Ovis aries: one gene and its partners. The protein of the gene in region 4 interacts with the protein of the main gene of each other region in a pairwise test. Links are inferred from orthologs where the notes say so. Each region holds a gene or a part of one and is shown on either strand. Other genes may lie near its edges.

Evidence for each region.
Region 1: the proteins of MARCHF2 (region 4) and FATE1 interact in binary tests that used the Homo sapiens proteins (3 or more experiments, as listed by UniProt). The two-hybrid records come from large-scale screens. The link is inferred for Ovis aries from reciprocal best matches to the Homo sapiens genes MARCHF2 and FATE1.
Region 2: the proteins of MARCHF2 (region 4) and FURIN interact in a protein complementation assay, tested with the Homo sapiens proteins (2 studies listed by BioGRID). The link is inferred for Ovis aries from reciprocal best matches to the Homo sapiens genes MARCHF2 and FURIN.
Region 3: the proteins of MARCHF2 (region 4) and LDLRAD1 interact in binary tests that used the Homo sapiens proteins (3 or more experiments, as listed by UniProt). The two-hybrid records come from large-scale screens. The link is inferred for Ovis aries from reciprocal best matches to the Homo sapiens genes MARCHF2 and LDLRAD1.

Annotation. Positions count from the first base shown.
Region 1 is NC_056080.1:84,015,895-84,020,190, reverse strand, and holds the start of FATE1 (fetal and adult testis-expressed transcript protein), read left to right. Parts: upstream 1-1,496; 5' UTR 1,497-1,555; coding exon 1,556-1,664; intron 1,665-2,610; coding exon 2,611-2,726; intron 2,727-4,296. UniProt on the Homo sapiens protein: Involved in the regulation of endoplasmic reticulum (ER)-mitochondria coupling. Negatively regulates the ER-mitochondria distance and Ca(2+) transfer from ER to mitochondria possibly implicating it in the regulation of apoptosis.
Region 2 is NC_056071.1:21,104,155-21,108,454, reverse strand, and holds the start of FURIN (furin), read left to right. Parts: upstream 1-1,500; 5' UTR 1,501-1,538; intron 1,539-2,078; exon of another isoform or gene 2,079-2,337; intron 2,338-2,832; exon of another isoform or gene 2,833-3,002; intron 3,003-4,300. UniProt on the Homo sapiens protein: Ubiquitous endoprotease within constitutive secretory pathways capable of cleavage at the RX(K/R)R consensus motif. Mediates processing of TGFB1, an essential step in TGF-beta-1 activation.
Region 3 is NC_056054.1:28,543,904-28,547,908, reverse strand, and holds the start of LDLRAD1 (low-density lipoprotein receptor class A domain-containing protein 1), read left to right. Parts: upstream 1-1,205; 5' UTR 1,206-1,298; coding exon 1,299-1,319; intron 1,320-1,823; coding exon 1,824-1,878; intron 1,879-2,694; exon of another isoform or gene 2,695-4,005.
Region 4 is NC_056058.1:14,792,324-14,794,704, reverse strand, and holds part of MARCHF2 (E3 ubiquitin-protein ligase MARCHF2), read right to left. Parts: intron 1,325-2,381; coding exon 1,115-1,324; intron 1-1,114. UniProt on the Homo sapiens protein: E3 ubiquitin-protein ligase that may mediate ubiquitination of TFRC and CD86, and promote their subsequent endocytosis and sorting to lysosomes via multivesicular bodies.

The DNA of each region.
Region 1 (4,296 bases), on a different chromosome or scaffold from region 4:
GAATGCAGGCAGGGCCTTTGTAAGCTCTGTTCTAGAGAGCTTGTTCCTAGCACTGGACAGGTGGGACCAGGGAGGGGGTTAGGCAACCCAGATCAGCCGCCCTCTCTAAGGGAGTTGGCCCCTCACTTTCTTCTCCCTCACTTTTTCCTTCCTCCCTTCCTCTCCTCCCCCTCCCCCTGTCCTCCTCTCCCTCCCACCTGGCCCCAATTGTGCTTGGTTTCTTTACAAATAGCCTCCTCTTCCTCAGGAGCTCTGAGGCTATTCCCAAGAGCTGAGGGTTCACCTTCGGTGGCTGTATGAGTCAGAGTTCTCCAGAGAAATGGAACCAATAGGAGGTATGTATGTGTATGTATATGTATTGTTGCACTCACTCACTGAGTCATATCTGACTCTTTGCAACCCCATGGACTGTAGCCCACCAGGCTCCTCTGGCCATGGGATTTCCCAGACAAGAATACTGGAGTGGGTTGCCATTCCATTCTCCAAGGGATCTTCTCAACCCAGGGATCAAATCTGGGTTTCCTGAACTGGCAGGTGGATTTTTTTTTACCACTGACTCACTATGCATATATGTGTGTGTAAAGAAAATTTTATTTAAAGAATTTGGCTCATGCCATCATAGAGCTAGCAAGGCCAAAATTTGCAGGACAAGTCAGCAGGTTGGAATGTTAGGGAGGGGTTGAGGTGTAGTCTTGAGCAGAATTTCTTCTCTGGGAAACCTCAGTCTTTGTTCTTAAGGCCTACAGCTGATTGAATGAGGCCCATTCACAGTATCAAGGATACACAATGTCCTTTACTTAAAGTCCACTGATTATAGACATCAACAGCTACAAAAAGTGCCTTGATAGAAACATCTAGACCAGCACGTGATGGAATAACTGGAGACCTTAGGCTAGCCACATGGACCATAAACATGACCACTGAGGTCTATTCAGTAGGGAAGCTGAGGGAAAATTTGACTTAGAATAGGGGGTGCAGGGCTGGGGACACTGGAGGCTCCAGTAAGCAGGCCCCTCTTCTGCACATCTCTCCTTTGGTTTTCATGGTTCCTGTCCAGGATGATCCAGGGTGTCAAAAGTCATGTCCCTTGCCTGGGAATTCTGGATGGGGTAAGGCAGGATGTGCTCTGTAGAGGATGCTTTCTGAAGGGGGCTATGGCCTGGACTGTTAACCAAAGCTGGCCTTGCAGAAACCACGGTGGGATCTAAACCTGCTTTGGCCACTGACCAACTCTGGAGTCCTGTGCCAGCCCCTCCCTCTATCTAGAAATGAGGTCAAATCGGATGAGCTGAGAGCCAGGGCAGCTTTCCCAGGCAAAGATTCAGAGTCTATCGCTTCTCCTAAGTTGCTTACAGAGTAGCAGAGAAGAAGACCTTGAACCCAGCCAGCAAGATACAGCAGGAACAGGAGGTGCTGGGTCTAATGCTTGAACTCAAAGTGGGAGTCTGGCTCCACCCCTGTGTCCAGATATATCTTCCGCAGAGAGCTGATTTCCCAAGCCTCCTCCGAGCCTTGGACCCTGTGCCTTCTTGGCCATTGCTTACAATTGGTGGTGATGGCAGGAGGAGCAGTCCCTAACCTCAAGGAAAAGATGCAAGTGCCAAAGGATGAAGACCTGCTTCTTGGAAGCTTTAGGGATAACCAAGAGCGCTCAGTGGCAGCAGGTGAGGATCCCCCGTAATGTCCCTTCCCTTGGGTATCTACACCTGTGCATGCATGTTAGAAAATGCGCAGGTTTGGCTTGGCAGAAGCATGAATGTGTGTTTGCATGTATTTGTGGGTACCTGTGTGTGAGGTAATGGGATTGATAAAAGTGAGCCTTTTGTAGCGTGTGACGGGGAAGGTTGGATGAACACCCCTCCCATTGCAAGCCACCAGTGGATCTTAATGCAAAACACTCAGTGGGTTCAATTTATAAGATCATTCAAAGCAATTCTCTCTCCTAACCTTCCAGTACCTTCTTCTGCCCTTTAGAGTAAAGCTCCTTTCCATGATCTACAAGATCCACATAAGGTCACCTCCTCAATATACTTCCTGCTGTGGCATGCTGACTCAGTCCACAGTGCCTTTAAGCCTGTCCTGTAACATCCCAAGACTCTTTCTTCTTCACAGCCTTTTCACTATGTGTTCCCTCTTTCCTCAGATTTTCTATGGCTGGACTCTTTCTCTTTCAGGTCTCTGCCTCAGTGTTGTCTCTGACTTTTCTAGAAGTATCCCCTTCCTTCTGTCTTGTTATCCTGTTTTTATTGTTTTGGGAGCATGCATCTCTTGATTTGCACTGATGGATTATTTCCTATAACCCCCACTCTCGTTACCACTTTCTCTGTACACACACAAACAATCAATTTTTTATTGCTGTGATCTTATTTCTTGGCCATTGCTTGCTCTTTAAGAACCTAGCCCAGAGCTTGACACTCAGTAAACACTTACTATATTTTGAGTACATGAAGAAATTGAGACCTGAGATTAGCCAGTAGATGCCAGAGAATGGGTGTTGAGTGCTTCCTAAGATGTTGGGGGACCCTATCCTATTTTTTGGTGTGTTCTGTGCCCATGAAACCTTGGGATAGCCTCTATGGGTATTCCTTGGGCCTCTGTTCTTCTCCCTAGAAATGAAGGAGCATATATCTCGGTTGCTGGGTGCTTCTCAGCGGCGACAGAAGGTGGATCCAAAGGCTGTTGGCTCTGCTGCGGTTTGGAATATGGCTGCAAACCAGTCCAAGAAGGTGGTACTGTATGGCATTTGGTGGCTAGCTTGAGTTTGGGGGAGTTTGCTACAGTTGTAGCAGCTCTGGTATGGAGATGGTAGGTCAAGCAGGGCAGATGTTGACTTTGGGGGAAGGACAAAGCTCCTGTGTTCTGGGCAGGCAAATGAGGGCAACAAGGTCTGGCAAGAGATCATGGCCATTCTTTGTTAGTTCAACCTTGAGGGTCCAGAATGTCTGAAACACACATTGCTTGTGGAGTACATATCTACTTTCTTTTATTAATAAATTAGTAAATATATCTATATTTGAATCTCTATATGTATATATGTATATATCTATATGTTATGTCTACTCTCTATATATATTTCTATATAGAAATATGCAAAAGTATAAAAATCATTATATATATATATATATATATATATATATATATATATATATATAGTTGCTGTTTAGTCTCTAAGTTATGTCTGACTTTTTGAATCCCCATGGACTGCAGCATGCCAGGCTTCCCTCTCCTCCACTATCTCCCAGAATTTGCTCTAATAAATGTCAATTGAGTCAGTGATGCTATCTAACCATCTAATCCTCTGCTGCCCCCTTCTCCTTTTCCGTTTAATCTTTCCCAACATCAGGGTCTTTTCCAGTGAGTTGGCTCTTTGCATCAGATGGCCAAAGTACTGTAGCTTCAGCAACCATCCTTCCAATGAATATACAGGGTTGTATATATATCTCTAAGCATATATAAATATAGATATACATGTATCTATATCTATCTTAGGGCTGGGACTAGGGTAAGGCAAGTGAAATGCCTATGCTCTCTGGCTACTAGGAAATCCAGTCAATTGAATCTGAGCATTTTGTAGCCAATCCTTTAAGTTACATTCTATATGAGTGAGGGAATGTTCTAGAAAAAATGGTGGCTATACTGTTGCAAAAGATACTGAGAAAAGGCAGTCATTTTGGAGAAGAGAAAGTCCTGACTCTTCTTGGGAATCACATGAATCCCATCATCCTTCTGTAGCCAATTCTTTTAACTACATTCATCTTGGGTGACAGAAAATTTTAGAAACATAGTTGTTAAACCACTGCACGTTTACTGGGAAAGGGCAACACCTTTGGAGAGGAGGGAGACCTGAGTGTTCCAGGCAATCATGTGAGTCTCATGTTTTGTAGCCCATCTGATAAGTAAGCTACTTTTGCTGCAGATGCTGGCAATTTTAGAAACATGGTTGTTTTACTGTTGCAAAGGTTATAGGAGGTAGAGGGAAGGCAAATTGACTGGAGAGGCAGGAAGACCTGATGTTCTAGAAAATCAGCCGAGTTACATTTTGTTCCTCTGTAATGAATTTTTAAAATTATACTAACCATATGAGGGAATGTTGTAGAGAAAATGGTGGCCATGTTGTTGCATTCAGTTCAGTTCAGTTCAGTCGCTCAGTCGTGTCCGACTCTTTGTGACCCCATGAACCACAGCACGCCAGGCCTCCCTGTCCATCACCAACTCCTGAAGGTTACCCAAACTCATGTCCATTGAGTCAGTGATGCCATCCAACCATCCCATCCTCTATTGTCCCCTTCTCCTCCT
Region 2 (4,300 bases), on a different chromosome or scaffold from region 4:
CACAGAGGGACTCAGAGGCTAGGCGGGGCCAGCCCAGTCCCTGTTTCCCCTCAACAGGGTTCTCTTGCTCACAGACTTAGGAAGAACCGTGACTCACTTCCTGCCTAGGTCTGACTGCAGAAGCATTGTTTTCCCAAGTGTAGCTGGGGCTACCCCAGGGTGGCCCCAAGGAGCCTGCTCCCTGGGGATCATGGTGGGGAGAGCAGTTCCCATTCAGAAAGAGGGCCAACCCGACTCACCTCCCCGCTCAAATTTCAGGGCCCCACATTCTTCCCCGAGTTTCTAGGTTTTGTGCTGTTCATGTAGGTACCCAAATCGTATGTTATCTCACTGGTTCAATATTATCTCCATTTTACAGAGGGGTAAATTGAGGCTCCGAGAATTAAGGTCTTGTCACTGCTGTTCAGTTGCTAAGCCAAGTCCAACTCTTTTCAGTCCCATGGACCGCAGCATGCCAGGCTCCTCTGAACTACATTATCTCCGGTTAAGTAAAAGTGTTACGTGCTCAGTCGCATCTGACTGTTTGCGACCCGTGGACTATAGCCCACCAGGCTCCTTTGTCCATGGAGTTTCCCAGGCAAGAATACTGGAGTAGGTTGCCATTTCCTATTCTGTCTCCCTACTATCTCCCAGAGTTTGCTCAAATCATTGTCTAAGGTTGGCACAGTTTAAAATAGTGCCGTTTCGACTTGAACTCAGGTTTAGGGGTTGACTGTCACCTAGTGAGTTACTTTACAAATGCTACTAACTTCTCTGGGCCTCAGTTTCCTCCTGTGTAAAGCGCAGATAGTGATACATGAAAGCTGCCTAAAGGAAAACTACATCCACCTTGCAGAATCCATGGTAATCATGGAGCAAGTTAACACATGGGAAAGAGCTCAGAACATTCTGATCCGTTTTCCTCATCATCCCCAAACCTGTACTGAAGAGATCACAGGATAACACTGTTCTGCCAGGTTATCGCAAAGGGGGCAGGAAGGGATGGGCAGGGACTGCTCTGTGACCTTAAAATAACCCAGCCTGTGGAGCTCTGGGCTACACTTCCCCTCTTTTCTTTCTCAGCTCAAGCAGTGATGGTCTCAGCCAAGTGGCACAGACGTTTTCTAGGGCAGGGACCCAGGGAGAGAGAGGAGCTGGTTGGTATATTGCAAGGAGCTCAGATTCAGGCTCTGCCAAAGCTCCAGATCTCTTCTGGGATCTGAGGCCTGTTAGTTGTGGGATCTTCAGCAAATTATCTAAACCTTGTGTGCCTCAGTTTTCTTATCTGTAAAATGGGATTGATAACGTCAGCCTGAAAGGATTAAGAAGATTAAATAATGTACATAAGAAGGAGATAATATAAAGTGATTGACCTGGTTCCTGGCAGGCAGTTGGAGTTGGAAAAAAAAAGTTTAAAAAAATTAAAAGGGGATGGGCTAGCTGTTCTGCTCATCCACCTGTCTATATAAATGCAAATAAAGTAGTGAGTCTTCTAACTGTAGGCCGCGAGGAAGTTTGCCCAGACGCGGTGAAGACCGACCTCAAGGGGGGTACTCCAGGTGCGTCATCCCAGGGCACTTAACCCGGTCGTGCCCAAACTCGTGGCTTAGGAGTGGGGAAGTGGCTGGGGGTGGGGATGAAGCCCAACTCCCCCAGAATCCGGCCGAGACTGGGCTCAGAGTGACTCCTCGAGTCCTTCCCAACCCTTGCCCGGGATGCCGAGTTCAAGTCTCCCCGGCCGCCGGCCCGGGGAGCTCGCGGGGCTAACAGCCGAGCCCGGGGGGCGGGGGCGCTGGCAGTGGGGTCTGGGGGACCCGCCGAGCGGCTGCGAGGGCTCTGGGATCGCCGGCCCCACTTCCTACCTCTGCCCCGAGCTGGAGCCGGAGGCGGCAGACGCCCCGGAAGGCCTCGGGGCCCCGGCGCTCCTGCTTGGAACGCGGGCCCGGGCCCGGGCCCGGGCGGCATGGGCGGCGCGGCGGGCCGGGCCGGCGGGGCGGCGGCGGCGGCCGGGAGCGCGGAGGTGGCGCCGCGAGGGGGAGGGGCGCGGCGGCGGAGGAGGAGGAGCCCGGGCCGCCGCAGCCGCTGACAGCGGCCCGAGTAAACAAGCCGCGCCGCCGCGGCCCGGCCGCTGCCCCCGCCCGCGCCGGAGCCGGAGCCGAGGCCGAGCCCTGCCCTGGTCGCCGGCCCGGCCGAGGCCGCGCCGCCGCGCCTCCCCGCCTCTGCGCGGTGACGCTGCTGCCGGGCGCGGGGACCGCGCCGAGCCCAGGCCCCCCGGAGCCGGGCTCTCCGCTCGGCCGAGGGGCGCCTGAGCCGCCCCGGCGCTCGCCTGGAAAAGTTTCCCCGCCCGGGCTCCCTAGGGTAAGCAGCGAGGGCGCCGGGCCCCGGGGGGAGGCAGCGCGCCGGGAGCCGGGCCCGACGAGACTGGGCCGCTCTGCCGGAGGAGCGGGCTCCGCGGCCCGAGCGCCCAGGCCGGAGAAGGGTCGGGGTCGCTGGCGCGGAGGCAGCCCGGGCCCCGATGCCCACCCGGCTTTCGGAACTGGCCCGCGGGCCGGCGCGGAGGGTGGAGCCGCGGGGAGCAGGAAGGGCATCCCGCAGCCCACCTGAGCGCGCTGGGCCCCCGCGGGTGCCGCTGCTCTTCCGCCTGGGGCGGGGGCGAGCCCTCTGACCCCAGGAAGCGCCCGCGGGGGCCGCCGCCGGGGGCGGGATGGGGAGAGGATTCCAGAGGCGCCGGGCGCTCCCGCCTCCCCGCCGTCCTTGGGGGCAGCCGCCGCCGGCTCGCCCACTCCGTGGCTGGGGAGGGCCTGCGCTCCCGCCGGGGGAGGGGCGGAGCGGCTGCTCGGGGCGGAGGGGATTATTCACCGCCGGGGCCTCGTCCCCGCCCGCACACCTGGGCGGAGAGACACTCAGGTGCGGGGTCTGCGGGCGCGGGGAGGCTGGCTCCCGCGAAGGCCTGGCCGAAGCCCCTGCTGCCCCCGTGGGGTGGCCTGCATGCCAGACAGGTCTTAACAGCAGTCGGTTGTCAGGTCAGTGCCTCCTTCCCGCCGTCCGCTCACCCCTTACCCCTGGGATACAGACCCTCCTCCACAGGAGGGTGTCGAAATTCTTTTTGCCTCGGGAAATGGGAGGGAAACCCAGGTGATGTGGCCTAGTGAGGGCTGGGCAGCCGCTGGCCAGGTGTGGAGACAGCCGAGGAGAGGAGCCAAGCTTGACTCCTGTTCTAGAGCCGCCCAAGTTTTACGATGTCCTATATTGGGCTTCCACATAATATTTGATTTTTTTTTTTTTTAAAGAGGATTCTGTGGCTTTCAAAAAAAGTTTGAAAACCTCTGGTCTAGCAGTTTTTACCACCTAGGAAAACTGAGGCCCAGACAGAGAGAGGAAGTGACCTAAGATCACATAGCAAATGAGTAGTTGAGCAAAGGCTGGGATTCAGAATTTCAGCGGAGCCATCAGTGCCTGCTACAGGAGCTGGTTTGATGTCTCTGCTGGAAAGAAAGAACCAGTTTTCCCAGGCAGCCCTGACCACGCCAGACCCCCTGATGCCTGGGAAACAGCAGCTGGACCTGGGTGAGGTTCAGTTCGGATGCCTTGGAGAGGCTGGCTGCGTTGGGAGCTTCCTGGGGCGGGAGAAGAGAACACAGCCAGGAAGAGCACCCACAGGTCTCTCTGTGGCCAAGTCTGGAGTGGAGCCCCATAGAGGGTTTCACAGGAGGCTGGAAATATGGCAAGCCTACCAGTTTGAGCTGAGCAGGGACTCAGAGGGTGAGTCAGAGTCTAGGATGGGGGTGGGGAAAAGAAGCCCATTCATTTATTGTTCTTAGCGCCTGTTCTTTGAGGTGGGGGCCATCCTCCCTGCTTCCGGGATGCTGAGGCAGGGCTGTTTGGGGCTTCAAGCTCTGTGGAAGCCATATCCATGGCTCAGCGTGTCTGGGGATGCTGAGCAGACGGAGGCCAGTCCTTTCTTGGAGGATTATTTGGTTGTGCCTGAAGCCCGCTTCCTTTTCGGGTCCTGCAAGGTAATTAAATAATCACCTTTATCAACAAGCAGCTGTGGCTCCACCCGCAATATGCCAGAACTTGGGCTAGACCCAGATGAATCCGGTCTTGATGTGTATATGGGGGGGGTCCAATGTGGCTCATAGCACTGGGGTCAGGAGGTGGCCTTGCTTGACATCTGAACCCAAGAGGCAGCTCTTGTGTCAGGAAGGGGAGATGAGAACTTGTTTCTATAAGGCCCTGCCCCTAAGGCTCTACATCCTCTGTTAAGTGAGGGCACAGGGCCCCTTCAACGCCCCCCACCCCCAACCCTCCCCCTCCCCAA
Region 3 (4,005 bases), on a different chromosome or scaffold from region 4:
GGGCAGGGCTTTTCAAACTGAATATGCATTTGAGCCTCCTAAAGCTCTTGTTAAAATGCAGGTTCTGGCTTTGTGGGCCTGGATGGGATTCCGTCTCTCACACATGATGAGGTCCTGCTGGTCCGAGGACCACACTTTTGAGAAGTGAGGAGATAGGTAGAGGTAATGTGTGAACTTCTCAGCCACCCACATCTATAACGCAGCTATGCCTCCTTTCAACTGTGAACCTTGGGCAAGTAACAATGTTTCTGTGCCTCAATTTCCTCATCTGTGAAATGGAGATGATAATAGTCTCCATCATTTGTGGTCAGGAGGACTAAGTGGGTTAACATATGTAACACCTGTAGTGCAGCATGTGACAAGACAAGCGTTCAGTACATGTTAGCAGTTGGTGGTGGCAATAGGAGTTACTAGAGAAACGCAAACTAAACCACAGTAAGATAGCATTTCACACCCACCAGAGGCGGATGGAGGTCAGAAAGTCTGACACTTTCAAGACTGAGGACACAGACACTCTTGTCACTGCTAATGGGGGTGCAAACTGGTACAGCCTCCTGGAAGAGTGGTTGGGTAGTATCTGGTGAAGTTGGGGGCCCCTGCAGTGTGATTCCAGATATATGTGTGTGTGTATTTCTAGAGAGTGTGTTGGGTGTTGAGTGGGGAGGACAAAGAGATCCATCTACGGGGGCACCGCCTTTCTTCAGGATGAGGGGAAAAGAAGTTTCAAGAGACAGATGAGAAAGCTGAAACTCAGGTTAAGTGACCTATCGTTTTAGTGGAAAACACATATTCTTTCCACATAGATTATGTGTTTCATTGAACAAATATCAATGAAAGCACGATCCCTGCTTTTTAGCCACTAGAACCTTAATTCTGGGTATTTCCGCCTGGATCTTCATGCAGCTGGGGGGGACCTGAGATCCTCCATCTCATCATCGATGTGGAGAAAAATCACACACTGAAAAATTTCTGGGTTCAGCTTCCCTCTCAACCCTGCACCATGTGACTCAAGGGCAGTTTCTCGCTCTCTGAACCTCAGACTCTTCTCTCACATAGAGAATTCTGGCGTTGGAGCGTGGCTGTCAGCCTGCAGAGAGGGAAGAGGCCAGGCCGGAGCAGGGCCCTCCTGCCCTCTCCTCTTCTCAGGAGGCAGCCTGGGAGGAGCCTGCCCACAGGGAGGGTGCGGCCAGGAAAGGCCTCCTGTCATTCCTTTTCCTAGCTGCCCTTGGTGACAGGCCGGGAACCTGGCAAGTTTTCTGCACTGCCAGGGCCGGAGACTGGAGCTGGGAGCCGGAGACATGAACAAGATCTCCCCCCAGGTAAGAGCTGCCCCGAGAAGGCTCCTGACCTGGGGGGCAGGGCGCGGGGCAAACCCCGGGATAAGGGTGGGCAGTAAAGAAGGGAGACACAGGTCCCCCACCGCCCCGGAGGCTCTCTACCACGTTGTAGGGAGATGCAACAGGTGAACCAGGTACATGGTTCAGGCAGTGAGAGCTGGGAGGGGACAGGAGGCCAGGGGAGGGAATGATCAACATTAAGGGGGGGCGCCTGGGGAGCTTCTCCAAGGGGGTACCCCCTGAGCTGGTTTGAAGGATGAATGTTTGCCAAATAGGCAGTGGAGGAAAAGGCTTTCCAGGCAAAGGGCACAGTACAGGCAAAAGTGTGGGAACATAAAGCAGACATGAGTGTGGGGCAGCCGAGTGGGAGGGCCAGTGTTTCCACCCAAGGCTCTTGTGAGGCTTCTGAAAAACTTTTCAGTCTAGCTGCCTGAGGCTGGACCTCCCCTCACCTCAGCCCACCCCACATTCTCTTCTCTTGGGCAGGGGGATGCCAATGGCAATGCTGCTGCTGGAAGCAAAGCCCTCCCTGGAGGGGAAGGTAAAGGCCGGGGGACCTGGGGCCAGCCCCTCCCCCACATGGGACTTCCTTGATGCTGGGCGGTTGCTATGGAGACACAAAAGCAGCTCCCTAAGGCTCTGTCTCTCAGACCTCTGCCCCATTGTTGATGTCATCCATTCCCAGTGTCCCAGCCATCTGTACTGATGGCCATTTGCTAAATGCATAAGCTCATGTGCTGCCCACCCCCACAGACATACACTGCCCCCCAAAACCCATAGAGGAAAGAGCTCTAGAGGCCAGTCCCTGACTCAGGGTGACCCAGGTGGGTCTCTACCTCTGAGGGATAAGGTGGGAGGGATCTCACATTTACTGAGCACCTGCTCTCAGCCACAGGCTCACCAAGTGACCAGGACAGTGTGCTTTACTTCTGTGGAATAAGAAGAAAAAAATACTTTTATTGAGCACCTACTATGTGTCCAATCTTGACTCTCACTTGACCACTGAGGGGAGAGACCCAGAGAGGTAGCTACTATTAATAACTATCAAGGATCAAGGCCCTACTGTGTGCCCAGCACCATGGGGCCTCTTCTACACCCAATGGTCAGCTCCGAGGGGGTCTCTTGTTCGGTGCAATAGCAGATGAGGCAGCTGAGGTGACGTGAGGTCGGGTGGTTCAGCCAAACTGGGATCCCGCACGGATGGGAGGCGTGAGGCAGGGTTCAAATTCAAATTAGGGTCCCTCGGCTTGCAGAGCCCCAGTATCTTTTTGCTACACAGTGGCATTCATTTATTTCAACCCTGCTTTATGAAGGACCTGGCATGGAATAATGGCCTCCTTTTCCCATCTGTCCCCAGGGGGATCAGCACTTAAGGGCTTTCAGGCTTTGAAGTGCAACCTTCACCTGGCCATGGACCCTGAGACGCTCCTGTGACCCCTCCTGCCCCACCTGTGCTGCGCAAATATTTGAGAAGCAGCTGCTTGGCTGACCGACCAGGACGCTTCTCCTTGCCAGCCTTCTCGCTGTCTCCCTGGTTACCTGAGTTTACAAGGGAGCCACTGACCAAGGCTGCAAGGAATGTGGGCTTTAGATTTATGCTGCGTCTCCTAATATTTCTCCCTTCCCAAGGTACCCCCACCCTGGGCTTCAGCCACACTTTCTGTCCCCCACATGCCATCAGGACCTCTACCCTCCTGGGCCCTCTACTTGGACTGCGCTCTCCTTGCACCTTCCCCTCACCCACCCGTGGAAATCCCATCCTCCTTCAAACACCCAGGACGCCCCATTCACCACCTTGGTCACCTGGCTGTGCGAGCTGCTGGGGTACAGGTACTGGTCTGCCTGATGGACCAGCACAGAGCAGGCTGCTCTGAAAATGTGAGTGGACTGTATGGAAGAGACCTGAACTGACTCGAACTGGGTTCTTCCCAAGGCACCTATCGTGTGCCTGCTGCTGGGCTGACCTCTGGGGACACATGCCCCTGCCCTTCCCTCAGAAAATAGTCCCCGGGGGACAGAGAAGCGCTCACGCTCTTGTTTTTGTGTCCAGACCTTGTCTTCTAAGTGAGACTGCAAGCTTTTGGAGGGCAAGGGTCAGAGATGTGCTTGCTTTTATGTCCTCTACAGAGCAGGGCACCTGGTGTTAGTCACTCAGTCATGTTCAGCTCTTTGCAACCCCATGGACTGTAACCTGCCAGGATCCTCCAGGCAGGAGTACTGGAGTGGGTTGCCATTTCCTTCTCCAGGGGATCTTCCCGACCCAGGGATTGAACCTGGGTCTCCCATGTTGCAGGCCATCTGAGCCACCAGGGAACTTAGAAGGTCCCCAATAAGATTTTCTTTCATTATTTCAAAAGCCAGAAAAAATTCAGGAGCAAAGTCAGTTAAAGGTGTCACTATCATTTCCAGATTGGCACATAGTAGACGCTCAATAAAGACAAATAGTAGCTAGAACCTTTATAGCACTTACTATGTACCAAGCCCTGTTCTGATCCAGTACCTAGCTCAATCCTCTCAACAATTCTAATGTAGGCATTGGAGCCCCATTTCCCACATGAGGAAAACAGGCACAGAGAAGTAAAGGGGCTTCTCAGTGTGGCCCAGCTGAAAAGTGGTGGAGCTGGGATTCCAACCAGCATCCTGGCAGGTTCCAGAAGGAACAATCACT
Region 4 (2,381 bases):
TCTGTGCGACCCCATGGACTGTAGCCCAGCAGGCTCCTCCATCCATGGGATTTTCCAGGCAAGAGTACTGGAGTAGGGTGCCATTGCCTTCTCCACTTGAACTGCTCTAGTGAATCAAATCTGTTAAAAAAAATTTTTTTTTCCCAGTAAATGTCAGTGGTTCCTACTCTTTGACCAAGGAAGTTCCAAGAAACATTTGCACGGGTGGCACCCAAAGCACTGTTTATAACAGCAAATAAAGGAGAAGGAAAAAAAATTGGAATAATCCCTATGTCCATCAAAAGAGATTAGTTAAATAAATATAGCACACCCACACAATGAAGGACTGTTGGGTGACTGCCTCTCTTTTTTTTAAGGACATTAGCAAAGTGAAAACAAGCAGACTGCAAAGCAGGACCTATGATGCATCCTACTTGTATTAAGAAATCTGCTTGGTGGGTGCACTGCAAATAATTCTTGAGGAGGGGGCACCCCCATAGCTGTGGTTCTATCTGTGGGACCTTCCCCCCTTCTCATGCCTGCCAGAACCCGGGGACAACACCCTCACCACACTCACTCTCTCCCAACCCCAGTCACCTTTTCTCTCAGTCTCTTTGTTTTTTATTTTTTGGCTGCACCACATGGCCTGTGGGACCTTAGTTCCCTGACCAGGGATCAAACCAAGTCCCCTGCACTGGCAGCCTTAACCATTGGACTGCCAGGGAAGTCTCGCTCAGTCTCTTGATCGTCCTCTCTGTCTCTCTCATTCTCCTGCCTTTTCTTCCACAGTCTTTCCAGTGGCTCTCAGCCTCTTCTCCCTTCCCCTTGCCCCCAAAACCCAGACAACCAGGTCTTAATGGGACTCGTGGCTAGCGCAGCCTGCACTCAGCTGAAGTGATCCCATGATCTTGCATTCCTCGGGCAGAAGCCTCACGCTTGGCTCCTGGGACCTCAAACCGGCCTGGAATCTGGAGCTCCATGAGATGCTGGGAGTTGCTTCCACCCCACGTGCCAGCCACAAGCCCAGGCAGGCAGAGTGCCGCCCCATCCTCCACCCCAGCTCCATCCAAGTTGCTGCCCAAGCCCCTGACCTGTCTGCTCCCAGATGCCTGCTGTCTGGCTGGAAGCCACTCACCAGTGTCCAGAGGACATAGATGGTGAACAAGGCGATGGTGAGGGCGATCAGTCCCAAGGCCTCCAGATGGCTGTGGAGCCGGAGGTGGTCCTGGGCGCCTCGCAGGCACAGCCAGCCTGAGATAGCGGCCAGTGGCGTGATGAACAGGAAGCACACCACGTCACAGCACAGCGTCCGCTTCTCTGTCCGAGGCCCAGGGTCCTTCAGCCACTGCGGGGAAGGAGGGAGGGGAAGCCGGTGAGAGGGACCACCACACACCGCCCTGCTACGAGCCTATGCCAGGGGATGGGGCATCAGGGCACTCTCTGCAGACACCCATCTTCATCACTGTTCCTGCAGGACCCTACTCCTGCCTTGCCTCCTGCAATCCTTTCTTTCCTTCAGATACTTACTGAGATGACGACAGGACAGGCCTGGGTAGGTGCAGGGCATTTCTGCCCCTGGTTTTGTTTTGTTTTGTTGCCACATCACGAGGCTTGCAGGATCTTAGTTCCCCGACCAGAGATAGAACCTGCACCTCCTGCAGTGGAAGCTCAGTCGTGTCTGACTCTCTGTGATCCCATGGACTGTGGCCCACCAGGTTCCTCTGTCCATGGGATTCACCAGGCAAGAATACTGGAGCAGGTTGCTGTGTCCTCCTACAGGGAATTTTCCCGACCCAGGGATCGAACCTGCATCTCTTGCATCTCCTGCACTGGCAGGCAGATTTTATTTTATTTTTTCCCCACTGAGCCACCTGGGAGGCCCTAGTTGAAGTGCGGAGTTTAACCACTGGACTGCCACGGAAGTCCCATGCCTATTTTACAGATGGGGGAAATGGAGGGCATAGAGGGGCTGACTCCTTTGTGCAAACTCACATGGCTAGTGGTCTACAAAGCCAGAACTGGAGCCCAGGAAGTCTTGCCTCAGGGTCTGTGTGTCCTTGGCTGCTATGCTACACTGCCTGCCACAGATGACCGGTGGTAGGAATCCCTGCCTGCAGCTCCCCTGCTGGTTGGAGGAGAGATGAAATGACTGAATGATCAAGGTGGGGACTGCTATGCTGAAGAGGTAAGGCTGCAGAAACTCAATCGAGCAGAACGAACCTCGTGAGGAATGGGGGAGACGTGCTCCAGGCTGCAGAAACAGCATGTGCAAAGGCCCTGGGGTGGAAGCATGTGCTCCACACGACGGGCAGTGGGGAGAGGGTGAGCTGTGTGCACAGGCCGGCTTGCTCTCCCACTGTTCTCTTAAGAGTAGGTCCTAGGCGGGCCAGGGGCTCTTCCAG